Caenorhabditis elegans: one gene and its partner. The protein of the gene in region 1 interacts with the protein of each later gene in a pairwise test. Each region holds a gene or a part of one and is shown in the gene's direction. Other genes may lie near its edges.

Region 1 (8,823 bases):
GGATATTTGATCCCAGCTGTAAACTATAACAAGTTTCCAACATTTGGCATAATTCCCACCTCCAATCCCAAAATTTCGGGTCCTTATCTGGATTCAACGATACATGTTTCCGGCTGTACGTGTTGCCACGAAAATTGCCCAACCACACATCAAACCCGGCGTCAGCGAACACAAATCCAGCACTTTGATGAGGTGAATTGGCGACCCAATCGAAACTAGAGCACAGAAAACCATGCTGTAGAAATATAACAGGACGGGAATTATTCACATCTGACGATGTAGGAACTTCTCGGCCATATGGGATTCTATGAAGTTCCAGAATGAAGCCATCTTTTGTTGTTGTGTTGTAGATCTCAACTGAGTAACCCCATGATTTTATTAATTCCGGCTGAAAAGCTTAATTTACTGAATCTGAATCGAAGTAATTAATTGTAAAAATTACATGTATAAAATTAAAGTTGATGTTTCTCAGTTTGAAATAAATGTATCGGAACAAAAAGAGTGGCCAATTTATTTCCAACTGATAATGAAACAAACAAAACGTAATTTGAGTTTCCAGCCAACAAGAAATAAACTTTAAATAAATATTACTCACCGTATCTAAATAAAACTCAAGATCGACACTTTTTGAGTAATTTGACAGTAATAAAATAATTAACAATGGGATCATTACAGTCATCAAATCACTGATTGATTCTCTCATGTTGCACACAAAACATTATTATTTTCTTTCTCTTTTCCTATCAGTTTACATTCGGTTTTGGTTGTTTTTTGACTAGCGAACTTTAGACTATTGCAGCACAACAAAATGATAATTTTGAACTTTGTTTCGTATCAGTGGAGAGATTTTTGTTTGATTCTTTTTAGTTTTTGAAAAAAAAACCAGAAAATAAAGTTGGGACTCAATTTGCTAAACTAGGCCCAGAAAGCAGTCAGTGCAGATCTGAAAAATTCCAATCGTTTTGAAAATTTGTCTATCAAGTCTAGAAGAATCACTTTATATAAATTTCTGAAAATAATTCACATAACCACGTCGCTCAAGTTGTTTAAACTTAGACAGCTGAGTCTAGTAGGTTTTCAGATATTTTATTCATAACAGACAGCCTTTATCAAATATCGGTTTCAGTCATAAATAATTTTAAGAGCTCTACAGATGACAACTGAAATTGCAGGAGCATCATACATATTATTCCAAGATTTTTGATTCCCTCGTGGATTCCAGTGGTTTGTAGGTCGAATTGTCGCGCAGTCTCAGTAGTCATCGCACAAAAGATTTGTGTGTGTGTGTGTATGTGAAGTGCAAATCGTTTGAGGGTTTGCGAGGAAAATATGTGGACATGACTTGAGAAGACAGTATTAAGATGAGGGAGAAGCCAGACTACGGAAGACGAACGGAGGAATAAATTGAAGGGGAGAAGTATGGATGAATGAGAGGAATAAGAAATACTATTCATTGCTTCTTCTGGCACGATTACATCAGCTTTTGCAACCTTTTTTCGGGTGGAGTGATTATCAACAAAGGTTGAACTGTGTATATGATCATTGAGTTCAAAACGTGATTTGGTTGATTTTGTAAGAAAATTATGAGCAATGAGTCAAACATTCGAATATACCTGTGTTCGAAATGTCATTGAAAGATTAGTTGTAACATTCAAGATTTTAGAAGCTGAGTATCGTCCATAAGAATTTTCTAACTACTTTTATGTAGTCCAAATAACAAGCCAGCATTTTATAGAGTTTTTAAGCGTTCCATTGGGCAAGTTGCCATATTTTCCAAAAATGTGGTTATTTTAGTTAATTCAGGCAATTCTGCAGGTTCAGACTACTAAAATTTTCACTGAACAACTAAAAAATAAAAATATAAATCTTGAAAAATTAGTTTTATTAACAAAATTGTGAAAGCTCAGTTTTCAAGCATTTCTTTAAAAGGAGCATTAACAGAGCATAAGAACATTTTAGAAATCTGTACAAAAAACGCTAAATTTTAAATCCGATTTTTCATTTATGTTGATTCCAAAAATCGGTACAGTACACCGATATTTTAGAAAATGTAGTGTTTTTTTAAAGGTTTTATAGTTTTATTTGAATATTCAAATCAAAACATAACATTTTGAAACTAAAGAGCGCAGTTCACCCAGTTGATAACCCTCTTTGGTTATAATTCCAATATTAGCTTGTGGTTACGTCACAATTCTTGAAACATCGGAGGTTTCGGTGAGTTTCAAAGTTCACCACCCTCTGTTTCTGCGTATCGCGATCTCGTGGGCTCTTCGAGCATCTCCCAAAAATAGTAGAGACGATATACAACAATCTGTGCGGTCAGCAGAAAGAGAAAGAGAGAGAAAAAACGTGCGTGTGTCCGAAATGCAAATATAAAATTGTATTGGAAGGAAGAAGCGAACGTACTGTTGTGTTCCGCGATTGCTCCGCGCGCCGCGCCCTTTTGATACTCATCTTTTCTTCCAATTCCGGAGACTCCCACTTTTTGTAATTTGAAAGAAACACACATAAGACGCGCTTGACCCCTGTCAATTTAGAAGATATGCATCTTTTAGATGAAGGAACAAAAAACCCGCGAAAACGTGGTGTGAATTATTTAAAACTCTTTTTCTCCCCCTCTCATTTCTTCACTCTTTTTCTTCCCAAATCCGTCCGGTTTCCATTTCGCCGTACGTTGACGGTGGTGAACGGTGGAGAGACTTGTTCAGTGTTCTAGATTATATGGTTCGATAAAAAGTACAGTTTTGAATACTTTCCTGTTTTCCATGTATATTTATCTTTTTTGGAATGACACTTTTACCGAATTTGACACCTTCGGATTCTGGTTTTGATGTATTCAAAGTTTAATTACAGTTTTTCTGATTTTCCTTGCCCGGCAAAGTTTGAGTTTTTATTCCAACAATAATTCCAGCAAATGATACTCTTTTCTTGAAACTGGAAAAAAAATCTTGGAAGCTTGTTGAAAAGCTATATAACTCAAGCCTTTTAATTTTTGCCGACTATCGAGTTTTCTGAAATTTTCCTTTCCTCACAATCAGTGGTAACATTTTGAAATAAATGTACGCTAGGTTAAAAAAATATTTTTTGAAATTGAAAAACGTAAAACTTACCATAAGGCCCATTTGTGAAGTGGCAGCAAAAAAATGTTGTGCTATTTACCAGACAATATGCTGCAAAATGCAACAAAAAAAATCAATTACATAATTGATTTCAATTAAAGCGATTTCATTGAACGAGCATATTTTTCCTTTTGCGACCACATGTTTTGAATAAAAATCATTTATTGAATTTAATTGTCAATAAACATTAAATAGTTGTGTCCAGAAGCCATGCTATTACCCATAAGCAAAATTTCACGATTTTTAGCCAACAATAAAGTGCCCGGTCTCGACACAACAAATTTTTGTCAAAAGCGAGAAGGTGTACTGTGATTCAAACTCTCTTTTCTACACAGTTATCATCGATTTTTCATAATTTTTCGTTGAAATTTTTAGACCGAGTACCGTAGCATCGAAAATACTATGATTAGAAATCTGAATTATTCCAATTTCAAATGAGAATTCTAATGCTCTAAACCTGCTCCATAAGCTCATCTACTCCCCCGTAAATTGAATATTTTTCTTATTTTTTTAAAAAATAAGAAAACGAATGTAATAATCCTGACACCACATTGCCGACTGCACAACCGAATCAAATATTTTATTCCTCTCTTCTTTTCTTCTTTGAAGAGCTCATCATCTCCTACATATTTCCTTCCTCTGACGTCTCCAAGTAGAAAAAAAAAGAGTTTGCCTTCTTTTCCCAAGAAGTTTTCTTCCAACTTTTCTCCCATTTCTCATTACTTTTTCTATCGGCTCGTCATCATTTGACGACCCCAACTTATCAATGAATTTAACACTGATAAATGCATTTCCACGTCGTTCCTCGGTTTTCCATTTCATTTTTCTTCGTTTTCTCGTGACTTATAAGCAATGTTTTAGGGAATTAGGGAATGTCATCCTTGAAGGTTTCCAGAATAAAAACTGTCTAGTTTTAGATTATATCATAATTTGAACTGTAGAAAAAATTTCCAAATATCTACTTAATTTACAGAAGTTATCTGGGACACTCTCCACGTTAACAATAATCTCAAATAGATATACTCCGTTCCTCTAATTATTGAATTTTTTAAAAAACTAATTCTAAATGTTTACTCTTATATTATATTTTTTGGGAAATTGCAGTTTTTGCTTTGTTTGCTCTTTATTTCCCACAAAAACTATCATAAAAACTCTCTCTCTCTCTCACTATGCTTCATGAGATTGTTTTTAAAGTTTAAAGTTTTTTATTTGGAATTTAAATTTTTAATATTTTCACACACATTATATTTTTACACCTTGAAACGTCCGTAATCTTCAATAATTTCAGTTGATGGCGGAGGAAGAAGAAGTGTCGAGTGACGATGTGCTTATGGAATCGCGGCCTTCTCTCGTTTCAACGAGAGCCGCGCATCTTTCTCCAAAACTTCAGAGAAGAGGATCCTCATCTGCACGAAAATTCGGTAAGTATTTGAAGAAAACTAGGTCGGTGATGAAGGATACAGCGGTGTTCGATCATCGATCGTCATAAGCTTATCGTAGAGTGTATGTGTGACACTGACCTCTGTTGACCCGCCCGGTGGATTCAATTCTACTATCTGTCCGATGTATCCAATTTAATCTTCCGTTTCTCGTGATGTTTGTGTTGCTATTGACACTTTAAAAAATTAAAAAGATCAGACTAAAAATAGGAACAAGCAAATTTGATAATGATGAACATAAAAGTAAGAGCTCAAAAAATAATTTCTCCACGTTAATAACTTTTTCTCTAACTGTAACAGGAGTGCGCTCACTAAACTTTTTCGAATTTCCACCACGATTGTCTACTTTTAAAAAATGTCCTAAAAAGGTGGCAATCACATCTATGTTCAAAAAATCTCTAAAATAGCACAACTAGCAAGAAAAATATTTCAGCTCGTTTTTAGTTCCAGATGAAACTTATGTCTTTTAAATGTGAGTCTTGAAATATGTCATTACAAAACATTACAGTTCTTTGGCCTGAAAGAATTTTGCAAAGATTTTTGTCAAAAATTTTCAGAATGACCTTTTCTAATTCAATGTGCTCCTTTGTTGCCAATTTTTAAAAGTAACCTATTGCCAAGGCACTCTTTCAAATGATATAGGTTTTATTTAGAATTCTAAAAATATGCTGAAATACTTTCATGGGAGCTGGATTTTTTGCCCGAGCCTTTTGATGCATAGTGTTTTGCACTTTTTATTGTGAATTCTGCAATGTCACCTGATTAACTATTGTGGCGTTTGCTTATGGAAACCGGAGAAAACTAAAATTTCATTGAATGACGTAAGTCACATTTCAAATTTATTCTCACCTTTTCTGGAGTGCACAAAAAATTACATAGGCAATACACTTTTTTTCAAATTTGATGTCCTTTTTCTTTTTGTTTTTCAAAGCATATTTGAGCTATAAAACTTGACCCGAACCTATAAATTACCACTCATCATCGGGTTGTTATCTCGTGTCGGGTTCATCGCAATAACATACATGAAGAATATTGAAAGAAGGTCGTCTCTCGAGTCAGTGAGTGGTGTCTTCTAGTAGTGCACGCCCGGTACCACCACCGGTCAATGTGTTGTTGCCGTTGCCGACGACCATTTTCCGCGCATCTCATCATCTCCCCCTCCCATGGGCCACCTTCCACGTGTTGTCTGCGTACCCTCACCTTCGAAAGAAATGCCAACTGTGAATAACAATATCGTTATGTTGGAGAAAGGACAGGCCGGCACTGACATACACTCACACGCGAGATTTTCGTTAGATCACTTCGGAGTTGTCTGCGTGTTTTTCTTTTTATTTCTATGCTTTTGAGGTAATATGAGACATTTCAAAAAAAAAAATAGAGAATCATCAAAAAAGTGATGAAGAGAATTTGGCAGAGTGAATCGAAAAACTACTTCCGGCTTTTTCTTTTTTTCCCATCTATGTTTTCATTTTTAGTCAGCTGCTTTTATAGTTTTCGTATTTATATTTTTTGTGCTTTTCTTTTCTCTTGTAACCCCTTTAAACTTTTATCAGGACCGATGGAAAATAATTTTCAAACTGTCTGATTAAAATACTTTTTCTCAAATTATTTTCCTGTTGAAAAAAAGAAAGACTCGAGATTTTTTGGTAATATTATTTCCGATTTGATCAATAATCGGGAAAAAACTTTGAAAAAATGTTCCGTTGGAGACTCCCCATGAACATATTTTAAAAGTACATGTGGATTTAAAACAAGTTTGCAGGTTTTTGAAACACACATTTTGGAACTTTATTTTTAAAAACTCACAGTTAGCAAGAAATACAATTTGCAAATTTTTTCTGCAAGTATAAGATTTTTCTAAATTGGAAAAAAAATACCTGAAGCTGCAAAACTTTGCTGTCAGGTGATATTTTATTACCAAAAAGAAAAAAAAATCAAAAATGTTTGAGGAGTAATTTTTTAAAGTATTAAGAGAATTGAAAGAATTTTGTGAATATTAAACCATTTTCCCAGTTTTTTCGCAGTGAAAGCTGATAGTTTTAACGCCATCACATTCATTTTTTTTTAAAGTTTCTCGGCAAAATGGCCTAACTTCGTAGCATACTCTTGCAACTTCTTAACAACCATTAGGCATTTTAGCTTTTAAGCAAACTTCTGCAGCTTTTCAGACGACTTTTGCAATTTTTTAGCAGATGTAAAGCTAAATTTCGCTCACAATCCCGTTGGTTTTCGCAACTTCTTAACAGCTTTTTACAAAGTTATATGAATGTTTTTATTAAGTTGCAGGAGATTGCTATGAAGTTGCGACGTTTTGCCGAGTTGGAGTTAACATAATTTCTGATGTGTCTAGTTGGGTAGTTCAACTGGTCAACATCATTTTCATCCCTGTCATTCTCAAAAAACGGAGCACTACCCTTGATCTAACCTAACCCAAAAAAACTAAACAAACAGTGACCCTGGCACGGCTTGCTCCTAAAGCAAACCCATTGAGCTTCTCCCCAATTTTTTCACAGTTAGTTCTCCTTCTCGTCCCTTCTTTCTCAATTCCACAGCGTGACCATCATCACTAGCCCAATGGATCCACGCCCCATCTACATCATACAGGGGGCCGACGACACCGAATCCAGTTTCAATTCATGGCTATTGCTGACTGCTTCTTGCCCTCATTTTCCTCTTTGCTACATGCCACATTCTCTCACTCTATGTCCTCTTCGGTGTAGGCATCGTCTCCATCGTCGTACAGTTGGACGTTGATGACGATGAAGACTAGGGGCATTCAAAAACTGGCCAAAGGCATTGAATGATGAAGGACAAGAACACCTATATGCTTCTGTAAACATCGATGCTTTTGTAAATTTTATGTTTACGCACCTTTTGTCGCCTCCCCCACACATAAATTGCTATTTTCGGAATGTTTCTTCTGACCTCCTACAATTGTCCCATCAGGCCGATTCAATTACACATTTCAATCTAGTCTTATTATTGATTAGACACATCATCACATCCTCCTCTTCCGTCCCTGCTACTTCCTTCAAAACATAAACTTTTACGACTTTTTTTTCTTCTCTTCTTCTTCTTATGTCTTCTTTTTCTTCTTCCAGACGATGTTGGCATAACCAGATTTTGCCACGTATGCACTCACACATCTATCCGATCAACCATCTCGTTATCCTTGCATTCCTCCCGTTTTTCTTCAATTCATCTTCCTCTTATCGCATTAGATGAGAACCTTAGGTCATCATCATCATCATCATCTTCAGAAATTTCTGCCTTCATTCAGCTAAGAATCTCACTCAAAAAACCGAAAAATGGCATTGGGAAATGGGTTAAAACTCAACTTATTACACTTGGAATCCAGAAAAATCAGACCGGCACATCTACAAAATGAGTCAGTGTAGCATGTTCTACCAAGATTTTTTAAGTTAAAATTTAGCGATAAATTATAGAAAAATACTTGTTTCATCTGAAAATACCTGTTATTTCAGTTGGAACAACATTTAAAAAAGTGCTCCACAAGTTCCTGGAAGGTACAAATTGCCGATAAAAATTGCAGTAATTTGCCGGATTCTTCCTCAGCAATTTGCAGCTTGAAACAATTTTTTGAGCAATTTTTCAGTTGTTCCAAACTAAGTGAAGACTATTTTCTCATAAAACAAGTATTTATCTACATATAACACTAATTTTCAACAAAGAACATGCTTCCCTCGCTCATTTTGTAGAATTGCTAGTAGGGAATCGCCGCGCAAACCTTGTGAAATGGATGCCCCGATTTTCGAATTGTTGAAATTCCAATTTTCAAACTATATCCGCCTGATACTTCCAATATCAAATATCGAGACGTTTCCATCTCTAGTGTCCCAATTTGATAAACATATCCTGAGGCAACTACAACTCTATTTTCCATCTGGAATTTGTTTCAAATGCCGGTAAGCCACCGGTTAGGATCATCACCCACTATTCCCATCGAAGATTTAAGCAATTAAGCAATGTCTCCGCAAAAAGGAGAAGCATTCATAATTGTGTGTATGTGTGCTGTTCATTGTGTAATTCGGTGTCCTCTCCTCAATCTCTGCTTGGTTATTCATTGCGAAGATATCGAATTGGGACATGAAAGATGGAGGCGCGAAATGAATCGAAGAGTGCGCAGACGTACATGCGCGTATCCACCAACACAATGACCCAAATAAGATGTAGAAGCATAGAGAGAAGCAGAAGACAAGAACATTGAAAGAGATTGAGAGAGAGTAAGTAGAAGGGACGGTATA
Region 2 (8,665 bases), 690 kb from region 1:
TGATTCCTGTCAAGCCTTCTGAAATAAATATTTATTCGTTTTCTTTGCAACAAATTATAAATAATTTACCAAAATGACGACAACCAAATCCAGTAACACTTGCATTGACAGCTCTGATTGTTTCCAGAGTGACATTATCCTGTGAAAGTCTCGGATCCAATTGTGCAGTTCTTTTCACCAAACAATTATAATCCTCAAACGTCTCAGCGATCTGATTGAACTTGATACTTCCACCACATCTCACAATCCATTCAGCTGCAGCACGATCTGCACCCACCTCCTTCACTCTTTGAACATCATAGCTGCAAGAGATCTGTGTTAATCTGGTCTTAATAAGTGCATTCAGCCACGGTTCTTCGGTTTTGTACTTTTGCAAATTTTTGCAGAAAACGAGAAAAGAATGCGATAAACCGAAAGCGATTAGTTCAGTTTTTAAACCAAAAAATCAAATCACACTATTCTGAACATTACGGTCATTTTCCAATTTTATTAGCAATTTATCTATATTCGGGGACTTATTTTTGAACAATTATATTCTGTTTGCAGAAAAGTGACTCTAGGTGCTACATCTTTTATTATAAATCCTGGCGGCCTAAAACTTTAATTTATATTATAGATCAAACCCAAAAATGCCTGATGGCACCTGTATCGGCTAGACCCGCTCAGAAAAATAGCATGTCCCTTTAAACTGAAGTGCCAAATTTTCGCGAAATTAGTCAAGTACTGCTGTAACCGGATACTGAACTTGGAAAAAGGGTTTAAAACGCAAAAAAAACAATTTTGAAATTTTTAGTTTTTGACCCGAAACAGTTGTGCCTGGTCTTGACACGAAAATTAGTTGGCAATTTTTACAGTTTTTGTATATTTTTATTCTCAGTGAAAATCTGAAAAGCGAACATTTTTGATTTTTTGGTTCTTCCGTAAAATGAAATTTCGAAAAAATGTTTCAAAAATTAACAAAAAAAAGCGTTTTGAAATTAAATTTGTTATTGTATTGTATTGTAAAATGTTAATGAGAGAAAAAATAATTATTTTCTAAAATGGCAAAAATTGTAGGCGCTTTTTTTGAAACCGTATTTTTGAGTCTGTAAATTCGCGACTATTCTAAAATTTCAACGTGATCCATTTTTGGCATTTTTCGTTTTTATTTTAATAATATTAGAAAAAAACCAACTTGTTGAATCCCTCCAGAACCCAACGGAGTCCGGGAATATTGTGTTGTCCCAGGGCTTGGGTAAACTTTTCTTGTATTTTACGTATGCTCATCTGAATTTCATATAATTTTTTGTTGAATAAATTATTATCAATTCAAGAAAAAAATACATTGTCCCATAAAAAATCAGGGAATCGACTTCAAATAAAAAAATCAACACATTATAAAACAGAGATCATATTCATTTTACACAGAAGATTATTGCCAAAAGAATTTTGAGATTTCAAAACGATTTTCATAAATATATAACACTTTTTAAAGAAATTAATCTATATATGGGCGAGGTGACCAGTCCTTATCGTGATTAGCCTTCCAATCTTCATTATTTTCATTCAATCGTGGAACATCATGACGTAACATGAATTCTCGAACTTTCCAACGAAGTGATAAACGACGCATTTCACCTGGAGCCGGATGACGATCCCATTCAGATCTGCAAGAAAACAAAAATGTTATAAAAATAAATGTTGAAGACTTTTTTCAGTATAATTTTGCAAAAAAAAAATTTTAAGTGCAAAATCACTTCGAAAATTGGTCGCGTTACCGTTTTAAAAAAATATTGCAAAAAATATTGTTTTTTTTAGAAATTTATATACTTTCTTAATATTTTTTTGTTTTTCAAAAATTCATATTTTTTATTCCGTGATTATTTTCACTCGAGAATCGCTCGCCCACTATGGGGGAGTCTACGCAAGGACAACGCAAGGACAAGGACAACATTCTAATGGAATGGAAACAATTGCCCGACTGCACCAATTCTAGTTCAAGCGAACAATGATAACTTTTGTATTCTGTATTCCTTCACGTCTCCCAGCGAGCGTAATAAATTATTATTATTATTATTATTATTTTTTGAAAATATTTTGATTTTTTCAAAAATGTATATAATTTTTTAAAGATTTGAATTTTCCACAAATTTATCCATTTTTTAAAACATATTTTTGTTTTTTTTCCAAATTTTAATTTTTTTTTACTTTTTTTAGATTTTTTAAAAATTGGCATATTTTTGAAAATGTAAAAAAAAACTTTTTAATCTTTTTTTTTTTGGAAATACGATTTTATCAAAATATTTGATTTTTATTCTATTTCATTCAGTCTATATTGTTGGAAATATTTTAATTATTTCGAAAACTTTTTTTTTCCAATATTTTCTTTCTTTTCAAAAATTGGCATTTTTGATACTTTGATTTTTTCAATAATGCCAATACTTTTTAAAGTATTTTAATTTTTTCTAAATCAAAATTATAAATAAAACGTTCTTCCATCGCTACTACACAGTCACGACACTCTCAAACTGAATAAAATGAATTACTTGTAGAAATGATATCTTGTGACCGGATCATATTTTTTTGGTGCTCTTCCTGGTTCAAGTGACAACACATTCCGAGTCCAAACTTCTTTTTCCGGTCGTGAAGATTTTTGAAGCTCTGATTGTTCAGTTTCAGTGCTTAACCCCACGGAAACTGATTCAGCGATATTTTCCTCATCATCCACACTTGATCGTTCTTGTATGTCGCTGCCATCCAGTGATATTGATTTAAGAGTCTGAAAAAATATTTAAAACTTATTTTTTATAAAATAAAATGCACAAACATCTGAATCTTGACGTTCGGTTGGCTCACAGGATTCAATTTTATTATTTTTAGACTTTTTGAACATTTTCCAGCTTAATCTATGGAAAAAATCTTGAATGGAAGTCAGCATTTTTCAACAAAAAAAAAAACGAAAAAGTCAAAACCTCTGTGGCACCATTGCATGTTTCCATTGCACGATGTATGCTTCGCCACGCTCGATCGACCAGAAGGTTTCTCTCAGGATACTCGTTTGAGCTTTCATCGTCGAAATCGCTTTGTAACTCTACATTTTCGTAGATAAACCGTTTTCCTTGTCTTTCTGAAAAAAAATCACAGATTAATTGAAGAAAATCTTAAAACTTAACTCACTTCTAGAAACAATTGGGGACTGAATATTCAGATTTTCGGTTGGAAAATTTCGTTCTTGTCGTATGAATTGAGCGGCTGGATCAACTGATAATGAAGCAAATAGAGATTCATTCATAACGTCTTCATCGGCATCTGACAGACAAAGCTCTCGGTCGAGTAGATTATCAATTTCTGAAGAATACGATCTTTTATATTGGATTTAAATATTTTAGGAAAAAAAACTAACCATTCTTGAAAGTTGCAAATTGGTTTTTGTCATGTATATGGTGACCCATTTGATGAAGAATATCTTCGAGCTCGTTTTCAGTGGTAAAATTTGCCATTTTTCCTTGAAGCCAAATGCTCGATGAAGCGTGTTTTATGAACAAGGAGGAAATGACGTACACGTTAAACTACCCGTAACGTTTTGAAAATATTTTTGAGATTGTCACAATGATCTGATCAGTCACAAGATGGTGGGGTTTTTCTGTAACAACAAACAATATTGTTCGTGCAAAAAAAAAACAAATAAAAAACAAAAAAGCAAACGTGCTCTATTGAACGCCAGAAAGCGCGCCAGGTTCAAATCTTAAAAAAATAGCGCGCGCGGTGCCATTGCAAAACAGTGCGCCCAGATTGCCAAACATGACTCCGCCCATCATTCTCCTTGTTAAAAACTTTTCCGAATTTTCTAATTTTATCCCGAAAAATTAAATTTAAAATAACTTTTTTATTAAAATTCAATAATTAATGATAATGACGGGTTTTCAGGTACATGAGCGATAACCATGCTTTTGGGCGGCCGATTCAAGAAGATGGACGAGGAATTGTCGAAACTATGAGAACAGAATCCGCCGCCATTTCCAATAATTTTAATGCGGTGAATAGCGGTAAGTCTCTAAAAGCAGAAAAATTGACCAAAATTAGCTATTATTTCAGTTAACAAATCTGTTGTACAACATCTTGATGAGCTTTCACAAAGTTTCGATGAGATTTTCACTTCAACAGACCACTCCGATGTAACTCTTGTTCTCGACGATGGAACTGAATTTGCTGCCCATCGTTTGATCTTGGCTGTGAGAAGTAGCTTTTTTCGAGCTATGCTCTATACAGGTTTTCAAGAAAGCCATCAACAGCTTGTGACTCTTCAGGAAACGAATTCAGTAGCCTTCCGAGCTGTTCTTCGGTACATGTACACATCGAAAATCGATTTTGCCGGAGTGGAACTGGATATTTTGCTAGAATATCTCAGTCTGGCACATCGTTATGATTTAATTCAGCTTATGACAGCAATAAGCGAATATTTCAAGGAAATTTTGAAGAATGAGAACTTGTGTAGTATTTTCAATGCTGCATACTTCTTTCAATTCACTGATCTTATAGATTATTGCATGCAATATTCTGATAAACATGCAGATCAGCTTCTCGAAGATCCCAGCTTCAACCGATTATCAGGAGATAGTCTGAAGGAGCTTCTTGCGAGAGATTCATTTTTTGCATTAGAATTGAAGATCTTCAATGCGGTACGTTCATGGCATCAGAATAATCCAACAATGAAAGAAGCATCAAAAGTTTTGCTGGAATTGGTCAGACTTCCCCTTATAACACAAACCGAACTTCTTAATTGTGTAAGACCAACTGGGTTGGTGTCAGCTGATACTCTTCTGGATGCTATAGAAGTTCAAACACAAAGACCACACGAGATTCCATTCAGAGGATGCAAAAGTGAGTTGAATTTTATTTATTTTCTGTTTAATCTATTCCATTTTATAGGCCTCGACACGAATATAATTCCACACTATCCACACGCACAGCCATTGTCACGAGAGCTCAGCAGTCGCTACACTAATGACGAGAATATTAGTGTATTTCAAATTGATCTCGGAAAACCATTCATTATCAATACAATTATGATGGATTTTAACTGGAAAAATGAAGTTCAAGCATTTACATACCAAGTTCACGTTAGTATGGATAATCGAGTTGATGCTCATTGGAATCTAGTTGCTGATTACTCGGAATATGATTGTCGAGGAACACAAAGACTCTTCTTCACAGATTCTGTTGTGCGGTAAGTGATTGATTTTATTGTAAAATCCATTGCATTAATAGTAGAAATTCAAAAACATTTCGGCGGTTTTGGAACTAACGGGCGAAGTTTAATTGATCTATTTTTTATTCATTTTCCGAAACATTTAAAACTTTCGAAAAAAAACTACAGCGCCTATAGTAATTTTCTACAGAAAACCCGTGAAACTCGAAAATTATTCACCATAATTTGCATTTCAGGCATATTTTGATCCGAGTCAACAATTCAATGTCGTGTAAACTGGAAGGAAGTCGAATCGAAGCCATGTTCTCTACCGAAACAATGCCTGTCGAACCTGTGCACAAAGTCATAGGTATCACATTTTGCTGTGGAAATGTAATATAATTTCAATTTTCTCAGTTCCTCATCGAAACATCACAACGATAGAAAATCACGCACGGGTTGTTGAAGGAGTTTCTCGATGTCGGAATGCTCTTATCAACGGGGATTCCTCATCCTACGACTGGGATACTGGATACACGTGTCATCAAATTGGAAGTGGTCTCATCATGATTCAACTTGCTCAGCCCTACATTATATCTTCAATGCGAATTTTGTTATGGAATTGTGATGATCGATTCTACTCGTATTATGTTGCCGTATCGAAGAATCAAGACGAATGGGTTACGATTGTCGACCGCACCAATGAAGAATGTCATGGATGGCAAGAACTCATATTTGATCCTCTTCCAGTTGTGTATATTCGACTTGTTGGTACCCGGAATTCCATAAACGAAGTCTTTCACGTTGTACATCTCGAGGCTCCCTCAAACGTTCCAATTGCCATAAAATAAAACCGGGTTACAGAAATATATATAATGCATTATTTCACTTAAATGTCTGATGAAAAATAAGTTATTAAATTTATTGAATAAAAATGTTAATAATTTCTTTTGAAAAAAAACCACATACACGGACGCCACACACCGAAAATAAATTTATTTTTTTATTTTCTTTATTCTTGAAATTCTAACCGTTTTTTTCAGATTTTTGAGAGGGATGGCGAAGCGAGAACTGAGGAAAAGTCTCAAATCAGAGATAGAAAACCTATTCAAATCACCAGAACAAGCAGAACATGAATTTCAATGTAAGGGGAATAAATAAAAAAATAAATTCCAGGAAAAGAAATTAATTTCAGGTGCAACAAAAAGACGTCGATTAACAAGCTCTGAAAAACCAACCAAGTCTCCTAGTACAAGTAGTGATGATCCATCCAAGCCAAAATTAGAGTTAAGGCTGTCCCGACTAGGTGATGGCCATCGATTAGACTGCGAAAGTAATAATCCACTTTAAAATCCACAATTTTCGCATAGTTTTCCAGCTCTGGCTCAGTTTATTCACTTCAGCATATTTGGATCATCACTCCAAAAGCCCAGATGGGTCAGTCTATCCCATCATAGAAATGTCCTTCAGAACCTAGTGGTTCGTGTCAATGTGGATGACGATTTTTTCGTAAGGGATTGCATTGAAAACCTAAATCGCTGAAATCATTACAGACGACAACGAATCTAAGCTTTCTTAGTGAATTCTTTGAAAAGCAATGGATAGAGTTGGATTCAGATGTCAGTGATCGTGGATTGTTCTGGAACAGCATTATGCAAGTCCGGCTTACTATTCAGGAACAGATTCGGAGAAAGTCTGTCATAATGCAAAAAACTTATGATAGAGACGGAAAACACGATAAATCGCATTTTGTGCTCACAACTGAACAATTGGCTCAACGACGCTACCCATTTCCTGGTGAAGAAGGTGTTGTACCCACTAAACAAGGGTAAATTAGCGATATTACTTGTTTTCAGTGCAGATTAAGTTTTATTTAAAATTTCAGATATAAAAAAATATCAGCTTCATCTCCAATGTTTTCTGTTGACTGTGAGATGTGTGAAACAGACGTTGCGAATCGAGAACTTACACGAATATCGATAGTGGATGAATTCGAGAATACGATTCTAGATACTCTTGTGAAACCAGAAGGTCGAATCACAGATTATGTGACGCGATGGTCTGGAATTACACCGGATATGATGGAAGGAGTAACGACGACTCTTGGAGATGTTCAAAAAGCTATTCAGAGCTTGTTACCGCCGGATGCAATTCTTGTTGGACACTCATTAGAGCACGATCTACAGGTATTCGAATTTTCAGTTTATTTCCTATTTTATTGAAACCAATTACAGGCAATGAAAATGACACATCCATTTTGTCTCGACGTTGGTCATGTTCTCAACTATACGAATAGCAACACAGAATTCCGAAATAGTCTCAAAAATTTGACGGAACTCTTTCTCGGAGCACAAATTCAATCAGAATTCGGTCATTGCTCGTATGAAGATGCGTGGGCAGCGATGCGCCTCGCTCAGCTGAAACTCGAAAAAGGATTGATGTTCGGGAACGTGAGCTTCGGATGGAAATATTCTGAATACGCAAAAAACAATGGAGCAGTTGAGAAGAAAATTGTCACGGCTGCTGAAATCACATCAAAACCGTGTACTGATTGCTCTCAGCCAACAGTTGTTGCTTGCACAGTTGCCAATTGCAGATGCAGATTTGTATCGACTCCTTCGAAATGTGTGCATTGTGTGAAGATCGGGATAAGTGCCCAAGGAGATTTTCATTGGCAGGATACACTTGATGTGGATCATGAAAAGAAAGCATCTCCAATCGGGAATTATTTGAAAAAGGATAAAATGAAATCTGTGATGTGTGCTTTCGATACTGCTATTCTCGACTGTCCTCCCATATCAAAAAAGTAAGATATTTAAAAATAATAAAGTTTAAGTACCTAATTTATTTCAGGGTCCGCTCAAAACTTCATTCCTCTTTTCCCTCCTATAATGGATTCGTCAACAGTGTAGCTTCTGAAATGCTCAATGACAGTGTAATCCTCGTGGAGATTGACAAAGAAAAAATAGAACCATTGGAAGAAACTGATTCAGAGCAAGGAGAAGTTCCTGACAACGCGGAGGCACTGAATCGGATTCTTGAAAAACTGGTTGCCGCCACGGCTAAAAACTCACTGATTATGATGATCTTGTCTAATTCCACTAAAAACGTGCTCTATGTAAGAGTCAAATAATCTTTTTTTTTAATATTAAGTTTCTCATAAAATGAATAACAAATAAAATTTGGTTTAATTTAAACTTCAATTTCCAACAAAACAACAACATTGATAACAAAGAAACGAAACAGTGAAATCATAAAATTTACTTGGCGGCTTTACTGAGCTTTGCCTTCTTTTTCAGCTTTTCCAAATCGATCGGCGCGTCGTTCGGTCGCTTCTTGTTCTGTTTTTCTCGCGGAGCTTCCTCTTTTGCTTGATACACTTTCAACTTTTGCTTCTGTTTTTCCACAGTCTTCACCGCCGATGCTTCCAATTTCGCTCTGAAAATTTCATAAATTTATTAAATTCCGTTACGATTTTTGAATTAAGAATACTTACCT

The links.
Region 2: the proteins of dre-1 (region 1) and hpo-9 interact in a two-hybrid assay, tested with the Caenorhabditis elegans proteins (one large-scale study listed by BioGRID).

Annotation. Positions count from the first base shown.
Region 1 is NC_003283.11:6,542,079-6,550,901, reverse strand, and holds the start of dre-1 (F-box domain-containing protein), read left to right. Parts: upstream 1-4,410; coding exon 4,411-4,540; intron 4,541-7,130; exon of another isoform or gene 7,131-7,336; intron 7,337-8,615; exon of another isoform or gene 8,616-8,765; intron 8,766-8,823. Other genes in the region: Lipase lipl-4, read right to left, coding at 1-16, 60-388, 596-703; K04A8.20 (Ovule protein), read right to left, coding at 1,110-1,454. UniProt on the Caenorhabditis elegans protein: Substrate recognition component of a SCF (SKP1-CUL1-F-box protein) E3 ubiquitin-protein ligase complex which mediates the ubiquitination and subsequent proteasomal degradation of target proteins including blmp-1.
Region 2 is NC_003283.11:7,232,372-7,241,036, reverse strand, and holds hpo-9 (BTB/POZ domain-containing protein 9), read left to right. Parts: upstream 1-3,906; 5' UTR 3,907-3,910; coding exon 3,911-4,025; intron 4,026-4,074; coding exon 4,075-4,860; intron 4,861-4,908; coding exon 4,909-5,206; intron 5,207-5,424; coding exon 5,425-5,537; intron 5,538-5,584; coding exon 5,585-6,018; 3' UTR 6,019-6,115; downstream 6,116-8,665. Other genes in the region: C05C8.1 (ATP synthase subunit s, mitochondrial), read right to left, coding at 1-18, 70-302, 1,175-1,266; Centriolar and ciliogenesis-associated protein hyls-1, read right to left, coding at 1,478-1,646, 2,526-2,758, 2,952-3,106, 3,157-3,327, 3,383-3,479; C05C8.5 (Exonuclease domain-containing protein), read left to right, coding at 6,224-6,311, 6,363-6,500, 6,546-6,676, 6,721-6,995, 7,053-7,353, 7,402-7,973, 8,021-8,300; krr-1 (KRR1 small subunit processome component), read right to left, coding at 8,428-8,605, 8,664-8,665.